3 linked regions of the Cricetulus griseus genome follow. The protein of the gene in region 3 interacts with the protein of the main gene of each other region in a pairwise test. Links are inferred from orthologs where the notes say so. Each region holds a gene or a part of one and is shown on either strand. Other genes may lie near its edges.

Region 1 (3,639 bases), on a different chromosome or scaffold from region 3:
CAGACTGAGCAAGCCAGTAAGCAGCAGCCCTCTATAGTCTCTGCATCAGCTCTTGCCTCCAGGTTCCTGCCCTGTTTGAGTTCCCATCCTGGCAGGGATCTAGAAGTATAAACCAAATAACCCTTTCCTCTTCAAGTTGCTTTTGGTCATGGTGTTTCATCACTGCAATAGTCACCCTGAGACAAGCACCAAAGAAGCAGTAACTGTACTAGAGAGTGACAGCCATGTACAAGTCCCTTTAGACTAAGACCTGACTTTGTGGCCCCAATGTTGCCTCTACCCGTCCACCAACAGCTCTGGACTGGCAGAATCCTTAAGAACTGGCCCCCTAGCCAAGTGGTAGTGGTGCACGCCTTTAATCCCAGCACTCGGGAGGCAAAGGTAGGAGGATCTCTGTGAGTTCGAGACCAGCCTGGTCTACAAGAGCTAGTTCCAGGACAGCATCCAAAGCCACAGGGAAACCCTGTCTCGAAGGAAAAAAAAAAAAAAAAAAAAAAGAACTGGCCCCCTTGCCTGCCCAGAGCCAGGGTCTTCACTACACGGTGTGTCCACCGTGGTGGAGCCCACGATAATCCCAGCACTTGAGAGGCAGAGACAGGTCAATAAGATGTCCCAGTCATCCTCAGCTACACGGAAAGTAGGAGGCCATCCCAGGACACATGAGACTCTGTCCAGAAGGGAAAAAGAAATGCTTACAATTGGGGGGAGCATGATGGGACACACCTGTGGTCCCCGATGCTCTGGAGGTTGAGGTGAAATGATCAGGAGTTAAAGGTCCTCCTGGATGACAATAACAACTTGCTTAAAACAAAGTAAAGTGAGAGCTGGAGACAGATCAGTGGTAGAGTGCTTCCTTGGAATAAAGGCCCTCACCATTCCTGGGGGTGCATTCTGTAATTCCAGATGGAGTGAGACCATCAGTTATGAGACCATCTTGGGCTAGACAGAACCTATCTCAAAAATCCAAGGAGTAGCCAGGCACCTTTTATCCCAGCACTTGGGAGGCAGAGGCAGGCAGATCTCTGACTTTGAGGCCAGCCTGGTCTCCAGAGTGAGTGCCAGGACAGGCTCCAAAGCTACACAGAGAAACCCTGTCTCGAAAAACCAAAAAAAAAAAAAGGAAAAGAAAAGAAACTGAGTTCCAATTCCCAGCAACCATGTAAACCCAGGAAGGCCACATGTCTGTAACCCTCCAGGAATTCCCTGGCCAGCCAGAATGATGAGTTTCAGGGAAACACCTTTTCTGAGGAATTAAGGTTTTGAATAATAAGATGGCTCAGACAGTAAAAGCACTTGCTGTGAAAGTTCAATGACCTACATTCCATCCTCAGAACCCACACAAAGATGAAGGGCAGAACCAGCTCCAAAAAGTTGTCTTCTGTACTCCACATGTGCACTGTGGCAATGTATCCCCCCCCACACACACACACCACACACCACACACTAATAATAGTAATAATAAAATTTGGGGTTGGGTATAGTGGAGTACACCTTTAATCCCAGAACTCAGGAGGCAGACACAGGAGGATCTGGAAATTCAAGGCCAGCCTGGTCTATGTAAGTTCCAGGCCAGCCAGACAGACCTCATCTCAAAAAATGGGGGTATAAGGGTAGGGAAAATGGGACACAGCACTGGAGAGATGGCTCAATGGTTAGGGGCACTGGCTGCTGATCCAAAGGACCCAGGTTGGGTTCCCAGCACCCACACAGTGGCTCACAACCTTCAGTAACTCCAGTTCCAGGGGATCCGACATCCTCTTCTGGCCTCCACAGGCACTGTACACATGTGGTGCCACAAACAGGCATACAGGCAAAACACACACATATAAAAATAAAGGTAAATAAATATAAAAATAATTTAAGATCACAGGCTGTGAATGAGGTAGTACTATGTGGAGCACGCAGCAAGAACTAAGTAAATGTGAGAAGTGGTGATGACAAGATGAAATGCTAAGTAAGCTCAGGATCCCCAGAGTCCCTGCCTCACACACCTCCCAAGGCTTTGCTTAACTACTATGACCCCAGTTTCCTGAAGCCATCCCCTGCAGACACTAAGGTCTCTCATGCCTTTGATCTCCAGGACAGGTCTGTGTTGGCTCTGAGCTCCACCTTGACAGGCAGACTACATCTGCAAACCCTGGAAGCCCCATAGAAGCCTGAGGTCTTCTGCTCTTCACACCTCAGGCCCTCAGCCCCTCACACCTCAGCTCCTCAGCCCCTCACACCTCAGCTCCTCAGCCCCCTCACCTCATACCCCCAGCTCAGTTACTCAGATTTTCTTGTCAAGTCATTGACCCCTTCCTTACACCTCAGCTCCCTTTCTCTTACTTCAGTCCCTCACCTCATGCTCTCACACCCTCACCTCAGGTCCTTCAGCCGCTTGCAGTGCTTCAGCATGTCAGCAAGAGCAGGCATGTACACCACCTTCCCCATCATGCCCAGGTTGGCCAACGACAGAGACTGCAGCTGCTGACACTGTAGGCCAATGCTCACTAGTCCAGAGCCTGTCAGCATGCCTGGAAGTTGGGCTAGTGTCAGGTGCCGCAGGAAGGCCAGCTGACCAATGGCAGCCACCTCTGAATCCCCAACATTCTGTGCCCGACTGCAGGGTGGGAGTGAGTTGCGAATGGCAGGCTCATTGCGTGGCATGGCTGAGGAGAAATTGGACCCGATCAGTTCCAGGTGCTCCAGATAAGGGAGCTTCTTCAGCAGAGACCAGAACACAGAGGCAGGCTGGGGGGCCGACTGGCCCAGGAAGGGGTTGGGACAGGTCTGAACCCCAATGCGCACCTTCTTGCCAAAGCCACGGGGCACTGCATGCATGGCCGGCGGGGCAGGCGCGCGGTCAGGCCTAGGTGCTGAGTCAGCCACAGAGCAGACAGGCAGCGAGAGGGAACGCAGGTGGCAGAGCCGGGCCAGGAGCTGGCAGAGGTGGCGGCCCAGGCCATCAGAGCTGTGGTGGTGGGCAGCTGAGAGATTGAGGTGGTGCAGATTACAGCAGGACTCTACCAGTGTCTCCAGGATGCTGCTGTCAATGTCGTCCTCTGCCTTACGGAGCAACGAGTCTGCAGACAGGCAATGCACACAGCCACTGAGGTTAAGGCTGGCCAGGCTGCGCAGGTCCTTCCCCCCATTGATGACCCGCTGGATCAGGTGGCCACCTGACAGTGTACACCGGCTAAAGCTGAAGTAGAAGGGATTGTTGAATTTCATATGCTGGAGAAGGGTGGAGCCGTTCAGCCATGACTTGGGCAGCTGCAGGGCATCCAAGGCCACATTGCGGGCCATGGAGTCCAGCAAGTTCTTGGTGGCCCCACTCTCCGCGAAGCTGCCAGGGACAGAAATGAGGAAGGCATGCAGGTTCTCAGGCGTGCGGTCACTGAGCACGGCGAGGTAGAGTCGCACCACTTCCTGGTTGATGTAGCCAGGAGCCAGGCGTGCATAGAAGACACGCAGGTTCTGGTAATGGGGCACGTTGCTCTGGCCCACCATGAGTTGGCCGGAGAGGACAGCACCCTCACGTGTGCGGTCCAGGATCTCAAAGTAGAGCAGCAACTTCTGCAGGCTGGCACAGCAGGGCACCACACCATAGGATGGTGTGAACAGCGTCTGCTTGAGCTCCTGTACTCGGCTCAGCGT
Region 2 (4,258 bases), about 150 Mb from region 3:
ATCTCCTTACCTCTGAAGTAACTCGAAATTGCAAAATGATTTCAGATTTTAATTTTAGAAAAGAAAAAAAAAGCCATGGTGTGTGTGTGTGTGTGTGTGTGTGTGTGTGTGTGTGTGTGTGTGTAGGTTATGTGTGTGGTGTATGTACTTGTTACTATCCCTGCATGTGTGTGGTGGCAGAGAATGACACTAGGTACACTTTCTACCATATTTCATTTGTTGAGACTGGGTGTCTCATCAGTTTGACTAGGCTGACTGACCAATGACCTTCAGGAATCCACTTGTGCTCACCTTCTCCCAAGCCCACCCCAGGCACTGGGGTTACAGACTCCCCTCTGCCCACACCCAGCTTTTAGGTGGGTTCTAGGGATCCAGACTCAGGTCCCCATGCTTTACTGACTGAACTGTCTCCCTAGTGCCCCCCACAAATCTTTTCAATAAACTATCTTGAGAGAATGCTGAATTATGATTTTACAAAGAATAAATCCATAAAATACATACAAGATTCTGGTCCAGGGTACTTATCGGAAAGAAATGCAGTCACCATTTGGATGCGTAGCCTGGGGGGGGGGGTATTATTCTCATTCCTATTCTATTTAGAGTACCCATATTTCAAGGTTTTCCAGAACACTCACAAGACAGTAGCAGAGTCCAGGGACAGGACTACAGGGTGGGATTCTGTCAATCTAATACATAAGTTGTGAACTTCATTCACTATAGCACAAAAAGACTGGGGTCCCAACCATTTAGCAAAGGTGTTTAAAAGAGAGATGTCTCAGAGGTTAACAGCACTGGCTGCTCTTCCAGAGGACCAGGGTTCAATTCCCAGCACCCATGTGGCAGCTCACAACAGTCTCTAACTCCAGTTCCAGGAGATATGACACCTTCATGTCAATGCACATAAAAATAAAGTTAAATAAATTATTTTAAAAATAGAAGGTTTCATATATACAGATATATGAAAGAAAAAAGATGAGTAGATTGCCAGGCAGTGCTGGCATGCATCTTTAATCCCAGTGCTTCAGAGGCAGAAGAAGGCAGATCTCTGTGAATTCAAGGCCAGCCTGGTCTACAGAGCGAGTTCCAGGACAACCAGCCAGGATACACAGAGAAACCCTGTCTTGAAAAACAAAAAACAAAGCTGGGCATTGGTGGCCCATGCCTTTAATCCCAGCACTTGGGAGGCAGAGGCAGGTGGATCTCTGTGAGTTCGAGGCCAACCTGGTCTCCAGAGCGAGTGCCAGGATAGGCTCTAAAGCTACACAGAGAAACCCTGTCTCAGGAAGAGAGAGAGAGAGAGAGAGAGAGAGAGAGAGAGAGAGAGAGAGAGAGAAACAAAAAGCAAACAAACAAAAATAAAAGAGTAGATTGACATTGGGTGATACAAAATTCTGAGTTAGGCCAGAGAAAGCTTATGCTCTTCATGTTCTTATTCAAACCATTACTCTAGGTTCAATAAGTTCTCCCACATTTTTGAAATTTACATTTGGTCTTGACTCTGGATATGCTTTGACCAGTAGAGCACAAAATGTAGAGCAGATGGTAGAAAAAGCTATAGACATTACCAGGCTCTCAGAGTGCATTAGTTCATAGAGAGGTCATTTGCTTTACTCATCTTCCACAAGCATTGCACAAAGACCTGTTTCCAAGGCTCTTGGCCCCTGGCAAACCTCAAGGGGTTGGATGCCCTGAAAGTTGTGACACAGTTAAGAGGCAGGAATGAGTACCCATCTGGTCTACAGACGCTTGCTCACTGGCAGCCACTGTTCTCAGAGGCAGGCTTCCCTAACCCATTGGTCAAGGTGCCAGGGCAGGGCAGATATCCCCAGCTAGCTGCCCCACACTTCTGGAATTCTATTGAGTGCATCCATAATGACAGGTTCTGTTTCTTGAGCACCCACTTCTGCAGGGCAACCTTAGTGGCTCCAAGAACCCACCCAGGGTTTGAACCCTCCTCTAATGACCAGGTACAAGCCACCAGTCACACACAACCTCTTATTACCTCTGAGCTCCTCAGGGTGCAGTCACCCAACACCAGATACACTCTCATTTATCCGTGTTTAAATGAAGAATAAAAACAAATCAATCTCCTCCTCCCCCCTCTTCTATCTGTCACTTTGTCCATTCCAAAAGTACCCCACCCTGCACGGGTATTGTTGGTGTATCGGTGAGGAAAACACATCAAAATCCCTGCCCTGCAGGAATTTACTTCGCCAGTGTAGTACAGTGGCCAACAAAGTTTGAAATCATTTTTCTCCCATCCTCATGCCACTCTCTCAAAGAACTTAATATTGTGCTTAATGTTAACTTGACTGGAAACAAAATCCTTAACGTGTAAGAACAGACGCTGCCCGGGTGCAATCCAATTCTCCCTTGAACTTGACTACCTCCCAACACTTTTCCCCCACTCAATGTGGCCAAACACTTTAGGTGGCTTGAGGGTCTGAGCTCCCCAACTGAGGCAAAATTAAAACACAGGAGGGACCCTCCACAACCCACTGCCCAGAAGGCGGACCCCCACAGAGAGGCACCCAGTACTCACCGAGGAACCTGCCCAGAAGGGGCACGAGTTCTTCACCTGAGGCGAACTGCTCAACGACAGCGCCCCGAAGCTGAGCGCCACCATGCAGCAGCCCAGGATCAGCTGCAACAGCCCGAGCGACAGCAGTGGGCGCGCGGGCAGCAGCGCGGAGCCAGGCGCTGCGGGGCGGCGGGACGCGAGCGCGGGTGGCGGGGCCAGCACAGCGGCGGGGGCGCAGCGGGGCCGAGCTGGAGGCTGCAGAGCGCCCCGGGGCCAGCGCGGCCGCAGCGGGGGCAGTGGCGGCTCCTGGGCGGCGGTGGTCGCGACTCCAGGACCCCCGGCCTGAGGTCCGCCCGACAGCCCGGCCACCGGGCAGCAGGAACCCGGGAGCACCACGGGCAGAGACATGGGCGCGCAGCGGGCGGGTGGCTCAGCGGAGCGGAGGGTGCGGCGCACCGGGCACCCGCGCCGGCGCCGAGCAGGACGGACTGCGCACGGCCCAACCACTTGCTGCCGCGGCCCGCGCCGGCCGCGCCCACCTGCCCCGCGGGGCCCGCCCCCCGCCGATCCCTCTCGGTCACCCACAGTGACAAGTGCACCGCCGCTTCAGGGTCACACGGGAAAGGCGTCAGGAAACGGCCCACCGTTCATAGTCTGTCCCCAACAGTGGCGCCAAGGGAAGCGTTGTAGACCCGGGTACCTCGGAGGACCGTCCTGAAAGTGGGAGACCCTGACGACCTTTAAATGGGAAGGAAGTCCCGAGTGATTCTCCCCCTCCCCCTGCTAGGAGGAGGGGCTGCTGGCAACCCCGACGGGAAAAGGTCCAAGCCCGGGAAGATGATGCTTCCCTGGACGTTACTGCCTGGGAGTGCGACCTGTATCTATGACCTCCGCGGGAGGATTCCCGGCGCTGACGCTGCAGCCCTGCGGGGAGAGGACGAGGTGCTTTCCCAGCACCAGAGTGGGAACAAGAGTAGTAAGACAAAAGTTACCTTGGGAGTTACTACCCAGCATTCACAATGGAAGAGGCCAGGGCGACCCTGTGCAGTTGGCACAGGCTCCATCCTTCTAGCTTTGACCCGGAGCTAATTGGCATCACCTGATAGAACACAGAATCCCAAACTTCCCAGGAAATAGTCTAATGAAATCGTAATCTACTTTAGTAATTTGTGATGCATCTATTGAACTTTAAAGAAAAAGCAATTATTCGTCTTTGCACAATGGTTTCCCCTAATAGAATGTCTAGACGTCTAATGTATCATAGGTGAGCTGCTGATAATGGGCTTCTTTTCCAGGTACGAGCCAGAGCAGTGTCAGTTTGCAGCCAGTTCTAGTATTTGAAAGCTTGTCTTATTGGAAAGGTGAGGGAATTTAATTCCCTCCTGTTCACTAGAACAAGAGAAATGCAGGTTTCTCTGAGTGCTCTGATTGTAAAGGCTGTATTTATGTTGTCATTGCTTCATATCGTGTAATGTATTACCAGTGTTCATATGTTTACATACAATCTTTAAATCATTAAACCACCTGTGCCTGGGATTAATAGTGCCTGGAATTTCCTTTCAGACTGCTCCCAGGAATAAACTTCAGGGTTTGGAGGGGAAAGTATATGTTTTTGTAAATAAATGCTGGAAGTCTGATGTCTTGTGTACAAAAAAAAAAAAAAAAAAACCTACAATAGATGCTCTCAAATTGCAGGTAAAGATGAATTAAGTTTCTTCAGTGCTGTGGTTATAACTT
Region 3 (4,264 bases):
GATTGAAGTCAGCCTGGGCTACAACCTACCTTGTATCAAAAAGCCAAAAGCCACAGTGAGACCCTGTCTCAAAAAAGGAAAGGCTGAGCATAGTTTTGATTTAAATTTATTTTAATTTAACACAACTTTAATTCCAGCACTTGGGAGGCAGAGGCAGGTGGATCTTTGTGAGCTCTAGACCAGTCAGGACTACATAATAAAAATTTGTCTTAAATAAGGAAAGAAATAACCAAATATAAGAATAAATGAGAACCTGGTGTAAGTTTTTTGCAAGTGGGAAAGTAGTCATTAAATGAAAGACAGACCTGGTAGTGCAGTCCTGTAATTCCAGCTAACTCAAGAGACAGAGGCAGGAGGAGCACAAGTTCAAGGCTTTCCTGAGCTACAGGAGTTTGAGGCCACCCAGGGAAACTTACTGAGAGTCTGTCTCAAAAGAAAAAGAAAAAAACTTACAAAAAGAAGGGCTACAGCCAGGCATTGGTGGTGCACGTCTTTAATCCCAGCACTCGGGAGGCAGAGGCAGGCGGATCTCTGTGAGTTTGAGGCCAGCCTGGTCTCCGGAGCAAGTGCTAGGATGGGCTCCAAAGCTACACAGGAGTGGGGGAGAGGGGAAGGGCTACAGCTCCAACTCAGTGGTAAGGTGTAAAGTTCAATGACAAAAAAAAAAAAAAAAAAAAAAAAAAAAAAAAAAAAAAAAAAAAACAGTGAAAGAGAACGACAAGCCAATCCAAGCCTTTGGCCTCAGGCTCCTTGGTTTCCTAGGGACCAATAACACAGAACAAAACTAGCTTCACTGACCAGAAAAAGGACAGGAAACTTAAGTTCAAACCCCTTCTTCACCACATACAGCAGTGTGACCTTTAAAAACTCCCTTATTTCTCAAACACTGACCAAGTACTCACAACATACCAGGCATGAGGCTAGTAGCCAAGGAAGCCACATAAAATAGGATCACTGCCCTTGAATGATTTACAGTCTAGCAGGAAGATGAGTAAACAAGTCAAGTTGGGGCTAGAGAGATAGATCAACAGTTAAAGAGTATTTAGTGCTCTTCCACAGGACCAAAGTTTAGTTCCCAGAATGACAGGCCAGAGGCTTGGGGCTGGAGAGACAGCTCAGTGATTAAGAGCACTGGCTGCTCTTCCAGAGGGCCCAAATTCAATTCCCAGCACCCACATGGCAACTCACAACTGTCTGTAACTTCAGCTCCAGAGGATCCAACAGCCTCACATAGACATGAATGCAGACAAAATAAAATCTTTTTAAAAAGAAAGAAAGCGCAGAGGCTCACAACCACCTGTATCTCTGGCTTCAAGGGACCCAATGCTTTCTTCTGGCCTCTGTGGACACCCACACCCTACATATGACATACATACACAGACACGAACACACACACACATAATAAATAAAAATAAATATTTTTAAAGTCAACCCTCTTAGCTGTTTGTTCTCTGTGAAGTGGGGATTGATTTCTCATGACAGCTACAAAAATTAACTTTTGAATGTTTGTCATATACCCCAAAGTCTTCCACTCCTAATGTATTAATGCAAAGTTTTTGGTTTTTTTTTTTGCCCTAGTGACCTGTGATCCTGGCTCCTGTCAACGTCCCATTTGAACTCTAACTCCTTCACTGCATTCACAAAACCCATTTCACTTCTGCAAAGTTTAGTAAATGTGAAGGAAAAGAGGAGGGCTTGGTTGTTTGTTTAGGTCTTAACAGTGTAGCCCAGGCCGGCTTGGCCTGGAACTTGCAGCCATCTTCACGCCTCGGCCTGGAAGATGAACAATCTTAAGATGGGTATCTTAACCTCAAAAAAAAAAAAAAAAAAATGTGATCTAGGTCACAGTTCTAAGGAATACCACAGAAACTTCTCTGTCACCCCACCTAGTCACAGCTGGTCAAGATAAGAAGTCTCATGGAAAAGGAAACTGTGTAATTTAAGCCTAAGATGCATCGTCTAAAGCAGTATCGGTAGACTTTCTACTGTCCAAGAGTTAAGCAGTCAATGCGTTGCTGAGGTAACGCTGGCCCAAGCCGCTGACAACTGTGTAGGTTGAAAGTCATGTTATGATCCCAGTAAAGCACCCACACCGTCTTTATTTTATTTTTTTTTTCGAAGATCAGCCGATCCGGGAGCATCTCAAAGAAAGATGATCTGAAGGGCTAGGCTCCTAACAAGAGGGAACCCTAAGCAAACAGGGCAAAGTGGGTGTGACCACAGTCAGCCGATCAAGACTGAGGGATCCCTCCTGAAGTTTAAAAACTGAACCGGACCGAAATTAAAGTCTCAGGTCGCCATCATCTTCAAAGAGGATGGAAGGAAGAGACTCTCGGAATGGGGTCCAGGCCGCATCGTCCAGATTTTTTCTCCACGTCCCTACAAACCAGACGCCCACTCCCAGGCAGCCCCTTCTGGGGAGCTTGCTAGTCTCCCGGGCCGAGGTCCCGTCCCCTCCACAGACGCGGCTCCTGCGCACCGCAGGCGCCCAGGCAGGGGTCCCCTGCCGGAAGCGCCAGCAGCTGGCGACTCCCACCGGGCCCCGCGCCCACCCCGCTCGGGCGCAAGCCGGGACACCCCTCCTCGGAGGCCGGAACCGCGCGCCAGGCCCCTCCCACAGGAAGCCGCCGCCCCCGCGCCCGCCCCGCGCCGCCCCCAGCCCTCACGCCCCCGCCGCCCCCGGCCACCCCGCGCCGCCCGCTCGCCACCGAGCCCCCAGCGCCCGCGCCACCTACCTGCAGCGGCCACACCAGCGGCGCCTAACTCCGCTCCACTTCCGCCTTCCAGCGCCCGCACTCGGGCCGGGTCACGTGAGTGCGCGCGGTCACCTGACCCGGAAGAGGCTGGCCTGGGCGCGCAGGTGCGGACCACCTAGACCCAGCATGCGAGCTTTTGATTTACTGAGGTCCCGAGTGGCGAGGACCTCTTGCTCCTGAGTTGTGTTCGGGCAGACATACAAAATAGGGACTCGCCGGGCACCAGGGGCTTTATTTTATTCCTTTGGAAGTAGGTAGAGTTTCCCTCCATGAAACAGGTGGGAGAAGACCATCCGGTCAGTTAATTCAGCGAGTCTTTCGGGGATTACTGGAGAAAAAAACAGTATGCTAGCCGAGTGATAGTGGCGCTCCCCTTTAATACCAGCATTTGGGAGGCAGAGGCAGGCGGTTCTTCGTAAATTCAAGGCTAGCCTTGTCTACAGGGTGAATTCTAAAACAGCCATGACTACTACACAGAGAAACTCTGTCTCAAAAAACAAACAAACAAAAACTTGCTAACAAAAAAACAGTATGTTCCCCCCTTAAATTTGAATATCGGATAAACCTTGTAACTATAACCACGTCCGCAAATTTGGAAAGGGATGTATTGACACCACAAAGGTATACTGGTCAAACTTAAGCATCTTATGTATTGCTAATATTGGCAGCTTGTGCCAACTATATGCTAGGCCTTGTTTTCAGTTCTAGAAGTATAAATGCCCTGGCCTTTATAGAACATCTGTTCTTGTTCCAAGAAGCAAAAGTAGAAGGGGGTGGGGGTGAGGTCACACTTCAGAACTTCACCCAAGTCCGTAAGTGTCCCATGGGGAACCAACTCCCATTTCCTCCCTGTATGGAGTAAACTGAAAGTTTTGAATTAGCAAACGGCCTCTATGTAACCCTGACTGACCTGGAACTCAACCCTATCCTCAGCCTTCTTAATTCCTGGCATTGGGGGCACTGAGGGTTGGACCCAGAGCCCTGCTCATACTAGTCAGGGATCACTCCTACTGACCTATGTTGCCAGTCCTGTTGTTACCTTTCTAGTTTTTATTTGGAGCAGGGTCTTGCTTAAAGAGTTCTAATTGGCCTTGAACTTTTGATTCTCTGAGTAGTTAGGATTACCTTTTTGTGCCATGGGGGGGGGGGGGTCAGGAGACAGGTGGAGTCAGGGTTTCATGCACCCTAGGCTGGGACCCACCTCCCAGTTGATCAGATAACAGATATGTGCCACACCATCTGGCTTTCTGTTGGGTTTGGTTTTGGTTAACTGAAATTTTTAATTTTTCATTAGTATTTTATTATATGGATCTTTTTCCTGTGCATACACATCTGTGTACCACCTGGATGTTTGGTGCCTTTGTTGTGGGTTATCTACCAGAGAAAACTGCTCAGACATTCATCTAAGCCAATAGAAAGTCTTTATTAGCCAGCCGGCAACTACACTGGGTGTTAAGGATCAAGCAAGGTTAGTAAATTTAAAGACTTTCCCAGAACTATGGATCTTG

What was found.
Region 1: the proteins of Wwp2 (region 3) and Fbxl18 interact in a two-hybrid assay, tested with the Homo sapiens proteins (3 studies listed by BioGRID and IntAct). The link is inferred for Cricetulus griseus from reciprocal best matches to the Homo sapiens genes WWP2 and FBXL18.
Region 2: the proteins of Wwp2 (region 3) and Fam189a2 interact in binary tests that used the Homo sapiens proteins (3 or more experiments, as listed by UniProt). The link is inferred for Cricetulus griseus from reciprocal best matches to the Homo sapiens genes WWP2 and ENTREP1.

What each region holds. Positions count from the first base shown.
Region 1 is NC_048597.1:79,449,852-79,453,490, forward strand, and holds part of Fbxl18 (F-box/LRR-repeat protein 18), read right to left. Parts: coding exon 2,363-3,639; intron 1-2,362. UniProt on the Homo sapiens protein: Substrate-recognition component of the SCF (SKP1-CUL1-F-box protein)-type E3 ubiquitin ligase complex.
Region 2 is NC_048596.1:37,234,020-37,238,277, reverse strand, and holds the start of Fam189a2 (protein FAM189A2), read right to left. Parts: upstream 2,930-4,258; coding exon 2,543-2,929; intron 1-2,542. UniProt on the Homo sapiens protein: Functions as an activator of the E3 ubiquitin protein ligase ITCH in the ubiquitination of the CXCL12-activated CXCR4 receptor. Thereby, triggers CXCR4 endocytosis and desensitization, negatively regulating the CXCL12/CXCR4 signaling pathway.
Region 3 is NC_048596.1:183,768,586-183,772,849, reverse strand, and holds the start of Wwp2 (NEDD4-like E3 ubiquitin-protein ligase WWP2), read right to left. Parts: upstream 2,832-4,264; 5' UTR 2,736-2,831; intron 1-2,735. UniProt on the Homo sapiens protein: E3 ubiquitin-protein ligase which accepts ubiquitin from an E2 ubiquitin-conjugating enzyme in the form of a thioester and then directly transfers the ubiquitin to targeted substrates.